Linked DNA regions of Oryzias latipes. Each later gene encodes a partner of the first gene's protein in a complex. Links are inferred from orthologs where the notes say so. Each region holds a gene or a part of one and is shown in the gene's direction. Other genes may lie near its edges. The genes, in order: tctn1, tmem107 and mks1.

Region 1 (2,447 bases):
TGCGCCCGTGTGGCGCTGAAGGTGAACTGTCGAAGCGTCTCCGTTCTTCGGAAACGTCAGAGTCGTTTTGGGCGATTGGATTTTTGAAGAACTTTGTCTCTCCAGGTAGTTTATGTGATCCGGTACAACGCGGCGGGCGAGGTGGTGAACGCTGCCGTCTCCGTGGTGCTGGGGTTCATCCGCGGAGCTTCGGTGCTGCTGGAGCAGGAGTTCCAGGCTACATTTGTCCAGGTGCTGCAGCACATCCTCACTCGCCAACGGTCTCTGGTCACATGACCGTGACGTTAGTCTGCCGTTTGCAGGACGGCGGCGAGCTGGCTCTTCGTCTCAGCGGAAATCCCGGCTATGTGGTCGGACGCCCTCTCCTGTCTGGAACGAAAACCGCAGAATATCCTTCCACAGAGAAGAAGAGACGGTTTCTTCACGCCTGTCTGCCGTTCTGCGCCTTGACCGCGTTCTCCACAGGGATCAGCAGAAGCACGGAGCTCAGAGATGCTCTGTCTCTGCTCCACAGCTCCGCCGAGCAGGACTGCCTGCGTGGTCCTCACCGGCGCTCCCCGGTCCTCTTCGGTGTGAACGCCGTGTCCGGCTGCACGCTGAGGCAAACGCGTCCCGCTCCCGTCAGCACGCCGTCTGTGGCCTTCAGGTCACCTCTGACCCTCTGACCTCTCTGATCTGCACAGGCTGGATGACGCAGCCAACTGCTCGCTGGTCCTTCAGCAGCTCCTGGACGTCCTCAGAGGACCAAACTACCCGCAGTACGTGGCTTCCTTTGGAAACTCCCCGCTGAACAAGCAGCTAGACTGGGTCTCCATCCAGAGCAGCTTCAGTCCTGTGGTGAGACCGCCGTGACCCCATCTTCTGCCGGGCGTCTCCGCTCCACAAACACTCCGGTTTGACTCGTCTCCGCCGTGACTGTGACTCACAGGAGGACCAAAGCTGCAGCCTCCCGCTCTCACTCCATCTAGAGATCGAATGGACCAAATATGGATCCCTGGAGAACCCCCAGGCCCAGATAGTGAGCATCCGGGAGATCATTCAGACCAACAGCAGCAGTTTGGTGAGACTTGAGGAGCCGCAGGTTCAGAATTCAGACTTTAGACTTAGAAAACACAGAACATTTAGGTTTGGGAATAAATTTAGATTATCCAAAGACAAAAGCGGCTAGGCTCCGCCTCCTCAGACACAAACGTCAGGACGAAGAATGATGCCTTAAAAGACGCCGTCTGCTCTCACAGCTTCATGCTAAATGATCACTTCCTGACCTTTTATCACACTTACTCCATCAGACTCATCATTTCAACAGACAGAAATCAAATCAAAGCGTTTGTCATCCGTCTGGGACGGTTGTTGAATGTCTTTGACTGAGACTGCGGCGGTTTTGTTACGGTGGACTCAAACCGTTTTAGATCGAGTTGAGATATTTGTTAGAAACAAAAAAACAAACATATTCTGGAGATGAGAGACAGGAAATTCTGCCCACAAACGAACTCTCCTGCAACTTTTATGTAACGTCTTGTCATAAAGCGACACGTTTGCGTCTCCAGGTGGGATGAACTCTAACCCTCTGCTTTCCGTCTTCCGCAGCCTCTGCTGAGCGGCGGCGGCGGCAGCCTGCCGGTCAGAAGCTCTGTGGCCTTCGTTCCAGTTTCTGCAGACGCACTTCCTGGTTACAGAGCCACGCCCACCATCGACGCCAAACTTCCCTTCAACTTCTTTTTCCCCTTTGTTTGAACAGACGCCTGCAGGCTTTGTGGTGTAATTTATGTAAATAAGATTTGATAAATTATTTTTTTCAATCAAAAGTCTTATTTAAACCTGTTTTTGTTTTTTAACCAAAAAAAAGGCAGAAAGGAGAAGTTCAAGTTATAAATCTTTAGGAGTTTTTAGTTCCAGAGACACAGAAATCTCACTTTTGGGGGGGGGGGGGGGGGGGGGGGGAGCTCAGGAAAAAGCTGACATGAACCCGAGTTAATCATCATACGAGAGCAGAGTTTGCATTAAAACTGACCACAAGCAGAGCTTCAAGCCTAAAAGTATTAGTATATATGAATAAAATAACGTTTGTGTCAGAAGCTCATGTGGTTATGAGACTGAAACTTGAATTTAATTATAAATACAGAACTGCCTTTTCCTTTTTCACTTTGTTTTTTTTTTAAGATTAAGTAACTGCAACTATAGAGTTCATAGCTGACATTATTTTATAAAAATAAGACACAATAAATGAAAAGTTAAAAATTTTACTGAGATAAAATGACTTATTTAATTAAAGATATTTCTAGTTAAGACAAGTCGGCCCACAAAAGATACATCCATCTTCAGAATTCACTGAATCCCTTTTAGGGTCACTGCGTTGCTGGAGCCTATCCCAGCTACTGACCAGGGCCACACATGCACACTTAGTGGCAATTTAGAGACACAAAATAATCTATGAAGCATGTTTTTGA
Region 2 (3,756 bases), on another chromosome or scaffold:
GGCTGGTGATCTGGGTTCCGGAGGGAGGTCTGGAGGAGGGTAGCCTCTTTGTACCAACACCTCGGCCGCGCACAGCAAACACACACTGTGCTGGCATGGCAGGAGGACGGGCTGCTTCACGATCTCGTCACACACCGGGCACAGCAGCTCCTTTTCCATCATCTTCATGTTGGACTGGAGAAGAGGGAAGAGGAAAGTTCAAGAAGACAACAGAGCTGCGACTTGATTTAAAGAAAGGAAATGATGGCAGTGATGAAGGAAATATCTAGATGAACTCTGGTTGTGTGCCGTTTATTGCACAGGACAAGAAGGAAAGAAGAACGTAACCTCCATGATGCTTAGCAGTCCTCCTGTGATTGCTTCACTGCTTCCTATTTCTAAGAGTAAATTGGCTGAGACATTATTTTTAATAAAAAAAAACAATTCAAACAATGCAGAAACATTCTGTTTGCCATTGATTGTTGCTTCTTTTTTTTTTAGGTTGTGGTGGCCCCTTTCCATTACTGCAGCCACAAGGCGCGGCATCCGGTTTCTATGACAACGCACATCTTCCTCTGGCCCTGATTTTATGCTATTTGGCAACATTCTTAGGTTCTTATATCTATTAAAAATGAATTATGTGGTCGTTGCGACTGTATATTTTCTATTGCCATTCACCACCTGACTGTGGCTTTCAGCCTATTCCGGGTTATTAAAGCGATGACAAAACATGTTTGTAAACGGTAGAAAAATGCTCCGCATTCTTATTTCATAGCCATGATTGTCCAGATCAACATACTATCAATAAAGCAAGTTATATGTAAGACTACATTATTGTTTTTCCTCTCTTAGATGTAGCACGTTTGAAATGGCTATATTAGAATAAACCGGCGTCGCACACTTACACTGATACGAACCAGCGCGTCCATGACAGAGGTAAAGGTTTGGAAGTCCTCTTCTGCCATGCTCTGTTGTTCTGATGTGCACGCTTCCAAAGAAAAAATGTTTCGTTTAAAACGATTATTAAGTGGGTGTGAAAAATAATCCCCGGCTGTTTTGTAGCAAACACTAGGCCCTGACGTGCACAGATAGCTGTGCTTGAGGTGTGCTGCTCAATCTCTGTCGTCTATCCAAATGCGAATGGAATGGTTGCTGAAACTGGTGGAGGGGGGTGGGGGCGTTTTGCCCCAAAATGTTAGCTTTATCGGGGAGCGTTTAAAAAACATTCTTTTAGAAAATAAAAACAAAAAAAAATCGGCTTTTCTACGTTCTTTAGATACGCGAGGCTATGTTCATCCTACAATCACACGTTAACTTTGTCATGTTTTATTTTTGTGTGTGTGTTGTCGTTAGATGCTAGTGTTGTGTGCTGCTTAACAACAAAGGCGATGGGTCGCATCCACTTCCCTTTTGTGTCCGGAACGTTTGGAAGGTGGATGTTTTTACGGGTCGCAATATTGGATGCACCCAGCCACTGGCTGTTGTAGCAACCCAATGCGACACCGGGGTGTGTTAAATTTCTATGTATAATTTTGTTTAGAAAAAAGACTATTAAAGAGTAAAATTTTAATTTTATAAGTTCATTGGCTTTAAAAATGCTTGATTATCATTTTTGGATTATTTATTGAACCGCGGTTGCGTTGATATACCGCGAACCAGGAGCGACGACTGTTGTGTGAGATCTGTGAACTCCAACGTGACCGTTTGGCTTTAAAATTTAGAATTTTCTAGCATTTCTGACACTTCTGTGAACCAGAAACAACATGTCTTCTATTAGCAGTCTAATTCCTGCGCGGTTTCTCACCATCATAGCTCACCTTGTCATCGTCATCACAATCTTTTGGTCCAGGGTAAGTAAGGACAGTCCGTGTTGTTGTTAAAGCTTGAAGGACGACTCAAGCTGCCATAGAAATATTTTTTATTATTATTATTAATATTATTATTGTTTTTTGTAAATATCAATAACGTGTAGTTTGTGATTTTAAAATAAAGAACAAAAGTTTTTAAAAAAATCGTGAAATAGAAATAAATTCTACTCCACAAAATATTTTTCCTAAACTGCAGAAATATAGATTTTTGTTTGCTGCAAAAAGTTTATTTCTCCTTTTTTTTATAAACAATTTTTTATCTAGAAATGTTACCATAATCGGCTATTTTATGTATTTGTTTCTGTTTTCTAGGAGAATAATGTGAAGGCATGTTTGCCTTTGGAGTTTACTCAGGAGCAGTATGACACAGAAGACAGAAAGTAAGTAACAAATGATTGAAAATATATGAAAAAATCTTGAATGCTCACATTCTAACCCGCATCCCTTTGGTTATTGTTCAGGTTGGTTGTAGCCTTGTCAGCCACTCTTGGTCTGTTTGCTATCGAGCTAGCAGGCTTCTTTTCAGGAGTCTCCATGTTCAGTTCCAGCCAGGGTCTTCTGTGTATCCTTTATACTGACAGTGATGATTCATATTTGTCATGGTCATTGATACTGAACTATTGATTCACAATTGTGAGGAAAATAAAGATTTTCAGATATTGTCTTTTCTCCAGCAGCTCTAGCTTCTAAATGAGCATCTGGTTTATAGCAGAAAACATGATTTACAAGAATAAATGAATGGATTAAACAATGCTTATTAGTCATTAGTTACAATTCCGTAACTAAGAACTTGTCTGCTATAGCAACAGGAGTCCATGCCAGTGCCTCTGTGGCTTTGCTCTTTTTTCTGTTTGAGCAGTGGGAGTGTGACATCTACTGGTGGATCTTTGCTATTTGCAGGTTAGTCTTTTGACGCCTAGCAAATCCGTTTTATCCTTTTTTCCCCAAAGTTTTCCCTGACAGCTGCTCCTTTCAGCATTAGCTGTCCACTGCTCCGCATCCGTATCTTTGTCTTTCTTTGTGTTTGAACAATGGGAATGCTGGACTTACTGGGTGATTTTTGCCACCTGCAGGTTGGTTCGCCTGCATGCTTGTTTTCAATGAATAGTTGGCTTTTAGAAAGACAGCATACTGTAACAGTCACTCTTATTTTGAAGGAATTTGAATGCATTTAAGGATTGTTCTTTTATCTTTCTGGATTTCTATTAATTTCTTTTTCTATTTCTCATCTTTCAGTGTCTTGCCAGCTTTTGTGGAGATTCTTCTGTTTATTGCGGTTTTTGGACTGAAGAAGAAGCCGTTATGAAGAGGAGTTGATTCAGATTGAATGGATGAACGCTTCCATTTGTTGCTACAAGACAGTAGCTGCAGAAATTCAGTTATTAGATCACCTTAAAAAGGGGCCAACATTGTTAGAATTTCTTCAGCAGGCATCAATAGATCCAGAAAGAATGTTTTTTTTTTCAATCTTTGTAAATATATTTTGAACTATGTAATTACAAAAAATAATTATACTATGTTGTTTGTTTTGAATAAGTTGGAGAGTTAGCAAAAGTTTAAAATGTAAACCAAGTTTTTTGTTGTCAGTAGTGTATTTGTTTCTCATGTAAAGCTTTTCAACGCTAAATCCAAAATACATTTATACTTTTTTAAATAAGTCTTATTTCTCTCATTGTATCTATCTTTATCCTCATTTGGTGACTTAATTGTCAGAGAAATATTAACCAAACTGAGCCAGAAGATAAATTAAAGTCGGGCGACAAGAGTATCCAGAACCGCAAGGTTACAAAACATGAAACAGTAACTTCATTTTTGTGCAGCTATCAAAAAAAAGAAACAGTATTTAAAATTGATTTAGGGAGGAAAAATCCTTTCCTAAATTATTAATGTAGTGAGACATGTTGTAATA
Region 3 (3,656 bases), on another chromosome or scaffold:
AACTGGAGTTATTATTTTTGGTTCAGTTGAGGCCCGAAATGGTGTGGCTCAGAAATTGGAGTCTTTGTCTAACAATGTTTCTTCAAGCTGCAGAAATCTGGGAGTGAAATTTGATACCAATTTGAATGGGGAGACCCATGTTAAATCTGTGGTCAAATCTTGTTTCTGGCAAATACAAAGGTTATACAGAATAACCTCTCTCCTATCAAAAAAATGTCTTGAGATGGTGATTCATGCTTTTATTTTTTCCCGTCTGGACTATTGTAACGCACTCTACACATGTCTTTCACAGCAGAGTGTGTATCAACTCCAGTTAGTCCAAAATGCGGCCACCAGACTCCTAACCAAAACCAGAATGAGAGACCACCTCACTCCAGTTTTAGCGTCTTTGCACTGGCTCCCAGTCCATTTTAGAATAGATTTTAATGATGCATTAATAGTGCATTTAAAGCACTCTGTGGTCTGGCCCCTAAATATATAGCCGATCTCCTCATTCCTTACGTACCTGGTCGCAATCTTAGATCTTCGGCAAAAGGCCTTTTAACAATCCCACAATCTAGATTGAAGATCAGGGGAGACAGGGCCTTTGCTGTAAGAGCCCCAACACTCTGGAACAGTCTCCCTGAAGAGATCAGGCTCGCTGGGTCCCTACCATTATTTAAATCTCTTTTAAAAACCCACCTCTATAGGAGTGCTTTTAATGATTTTACCGGTTCTTAAATTTAAACATAGGATTTATTTAAATTTTTTTTTTTTTATTGATTCATTGATTTTAACTGCTATCACTGTTTTGTGTGTGTGCTGGGTTTTATTACTACATACTGTAAACTGTTTGTAATCCGGATTTTGTCTCATATTAATTGTACAGAATTTAGTAATCTCGTTTTCGAAAAGTGCTATATAAATTAAGTAAATTATTATTGGTACTTAGACTGAGGATAAAGCTTCTCTACATGTATTTTCTACATCTGAAACCAGACAAATCATTGATGTTTTGTATGATATTTTCCCTTGTGCTATTTTGTGGGGTCCAGATGCACATACCCCACAAGACAGCACAAGGGTTGTAAGAGGTAAACTTTTTAATCTCATGACATGCAGAGCTGGCCAGTGCAAAGCTCTACTAACCATTTGACAGGATGTTTATTGTGAATTTTCAGGCTTGGTCAAAAAGAGAACGAGTGCCTGCTGATAACTATAAAAACCGACGGCCATGGAACTATAGTTGTAAAACCTGACTTCAACAAAGGCCGAGAGCCCTACAGGCAAGTTTACAAGGCTTCTGTGATGGCTGAGAATGAATCCTACATTTTTTAGCGTATCATTTAACCCTTGTGCTATCTTAGATGACCCCACCCTTGCATTGACGTGTAATTCCTACCATGACAAAGGTGGATAAAGGTGGAAAGATTTCATGTAATCCATGGACACCAGTGAAGATCACAAATCATTGAAGAAAAAAAGTTCAGAGCACTGAATAGTGGGTCTAGATGACCCAACTCCCAATGGTAAAGTGCCTAGGATAGCACAAGGGATGAGTAGAATGGCAGCAGTAAGCTGCAAATCCTAAAACGATTGTATGTTTAAAAAAAGAAAAAAGCAAAGTACATTTAAAACCACAGCAAAAATAATAGAGTGAATCAGACATTTAACCGGACGTTTGTGTCGTTGGACAGGATTGTCGCTGAGGGAGAAAACCGAGAAATATGGCGTCTTACTTTTGAGAACGTATCAAAAAGCATGAAGCCAGAGGAAAAAAACAAGGAGCAGAACATGTATAAAGATGTGAGTCAATATCAGCATTTTCTAATAAACCAGGAAAGAGATTCAGAACATTTTTATTGCTAAAATGGAAGATGAAAGCTGTAATCAGGATCAACTTTGTCCCTCCTCTTTATAGCTGTATGTGAGGCACAAAGAGTTCCTCAGTGGTCTTGTTGGACAGGACTTTGAAATGGTAAGGCGTTTTTTGTTTTAAACTTTATTTTTATTGATTTTTTGTTACATGAAAACAAACCACAAACTACATTCAAAACAGAGGTCAATCCTGTGTCTATTTGTTGAAAAGTGTCCATTTTTTCCACATTCGGTGTTATTGTGACTCTTGCAGTCTCAGCCTGTATGTTATTGTTTCCGTTGAATAAATGTCGTTAATTGCTGGTAAGGCGTTTTAATGTAACGTTTTTAATTCAAATTTTCAATGCTTACCATGGTCTAAAAAAAAGACAAGTATGTTATGATCTATCAACTATATACTAAAGAGCAAATTCTTACATTTGAGGAGTTTTAGCCAAAAAAAGGTTTAAGGATTAAGGTTTAAGGATAGTTATCACTTGAGTAAATGTTGACTTGTATTTAGGTTTGTGAGCTATGAGATGTGTGTTGTTTAGCCTCCTGCAGGTACACTGCGTTACCTGATGAACGGAGAAATAGGTAAGTCAAAAGGCAGAGCTAACTTTAGCAGTTATATATATATAATACACGTTTAGAATTAATAACTACTATTTTTTTACAGTCTCAGCTCAAGGCTTTGAATATGACAACTTGTACATACACTTCTTTTTGGAATTGCCCAATAGTAAGTCTTAAGTATCAGTAGTTGTTTGATTGTTGTTTTTGCCTCTTTAGCTGTAACTGATGTTTTTCTTTCAGATTGGTCCAGTTTGCCTTCTCAGTCTCTATCAGAGGTCACCCAGACCTGTCGGACCAAGTCTCTTGAAAAGGTGTGAACGTTTTGCATACGCTTAGCTTGAAAAGCTACACAATTCCACAACAGTTTATCTAAAAAAGTCTTCAAGACTAGCAATTGCTGAGTCGACAATGAACGTCTCTGCCGAAACATACCTTTAAAAGACTGGAAAAGTAAGAGCATCAGTGTAGGAGAGTGCAGCAGAGGCTTAGTTAAAGCATAAAGCTCAGCCACAACTTGCTGTCTGTCTGCAAAATTCTGTAACTGGAAATAAAAGAATCCATAAACGGCTTTGCCACCCTGGACACACCAGTCCCCAGAAGCTAACCGGGGTAACGCCTGATTGTTTCTTTAATGAGAGATTGTCTGGGACTACTATGTGCTGTAAATGACTGCGGGCACACAGTGGGCACTCTCCAGTGTTTCCATGTGCCTGTCCCAAGTCTGGTTAAAGAACAGGGTTTGGCATCTGCTGTACAACTGAAGTCAAATGTGCAAGTCTTGACTGGGCGTCCCTTTTAAGCTAGATGCCCAAAGGAAAAAGGCCCTGTAAATGTGTAGAGACAAAAAACAAGTTTGTCAAGTGGTTGTTGCTTTAAGGTGCATCTCGGTTTTGTACTGACAATGCATTCCTGTATATTTTCTGATACTTAATGGCTTACATTTAGAAAAAAAAAAATCTTGATTGCTTGCATGTAAGAGACTAGGGAGCCGGTTTAGCTCGTGCTGGTTTGCGGCGCCTTCCGTCTGTGGAAGTTCATGTTTTACTTCGAAGCCCATCGAGACGACTGTTGTTGTGATTTTGGACTATACAAAGAAAATTGAATTGAATTGAATTGAATTGAAACCCAGGTTCAAATCCGGGCTGCTCCCTGTTCCCTTCTCTACCTCTGTGCCGGTCCCAAGCCCGGTTGCTTTGAGAGGCTTGCGTCAGGAAGGGCATCCGGCGTAAAACATTGCCAAGTTT

Evidence for each region.
Region 2: tctn1 (region 1) and tmem107 share a complex: the UniProt entries of both Homo sapiens proteins name them as parts of the tectonic-like complex. The link is inferred for Oryzias latipes from reciprocal best matches to the Homo sapiens genes TCTN1 and TMEM107.
Region 3: tctn1 (region 1) and mks1 share a complex: the UniProt entries of both Homo sapiens proteins name them as parts of the tectonic-like complex. The link is inferred for Oryzias latipes from reciprocal best matches to the Homo sapiens genes TCTN1 and MKS1.

Annotation. Positions count from the first base shown.
Region 1 is NC_019868.2:27,631,570-27,634,016, forward strand, and holds the end of tctn1 (tectonic-1), read left to right. Parts: coding exon 1-21; intron 22-105; coding exon 106-231; intron 232-302; coding exon 303-388; intron 389-463; coding exon 464-601; intron 602-683; coding exon 684-837; intron 838-928; coding exon 929-1,060; intron 1,061-1,587; coding exon 1,588-1,734; 3' UTR 1,735-1,941; downstream 1,942-2,447. UniProt on the Homo sapiens protein: Component of the tectonic-like complex, a complex localized at the transition zone of primary cilia and acting as a barrier that prevents diffusion of transmembrane proteins between the cilia and plasma membranes.
Region 2 is NC_019874.2:18,549,671-18,553,426, forward strand, and holds tmem107 (transmembrane protein 107), read left to right. Parts: upstream 1-1,435; 5' UTR 1,436-1,742; coding exon 1,743-1,829; intron 1,830-2,159; coding exon 2,160-2,227; intron 2,228-2,308; coding exon 2,309-2,409; intron 2,410-2,650; coding exon of another isoform or gene 2,651-2,747; intron 2,748-2,823; coding exon 2,824-2,920; intron 2,921-3,083; coding exon 3,084-3,153; 3' UTR 3,154-3,505; downstream 3,506-3,756. Other genes in the region: tripartite motif-containing protein 46, read right to left, coding at 1-174, 885-944. UniProt on the Homo sapiens protein: Plays a role in cilia formation and embryonic patterning. Requires for normal Sonic hedgehog (Shh) signaling in the neural tube and acts in combination with GLI2 and GLI3 to pattern ventral and intermediate neuronal cell types.
Region 3 is NC_019872.2:25,018,154-25,021,809, forward strand, and holds part of mks1 (Meckel syndrome type 1 protein), read left to right. Parts: intron 1-1,160; coding exon 1,161-1,265; intron 1,266-1,676; coding exon 1,677-1,785; intron 1,786-1,900; coding exon 1,901-1,957; intron 1,958-2,390; coding exon 2,391-2,433; intron 2,434-2,515; coding exon 2,516-2,578; intron 2,579-2,652; coding exon 2,653-2,723; intron 2,724-3,656. UniProt on the Homo sapiens protein: Component of the tectonic-like complex, a complex localized at the transition zone of primary cilia and acting as a barrier that prevents diffusion of transmembrane proteins between the cilia and plasma membranes.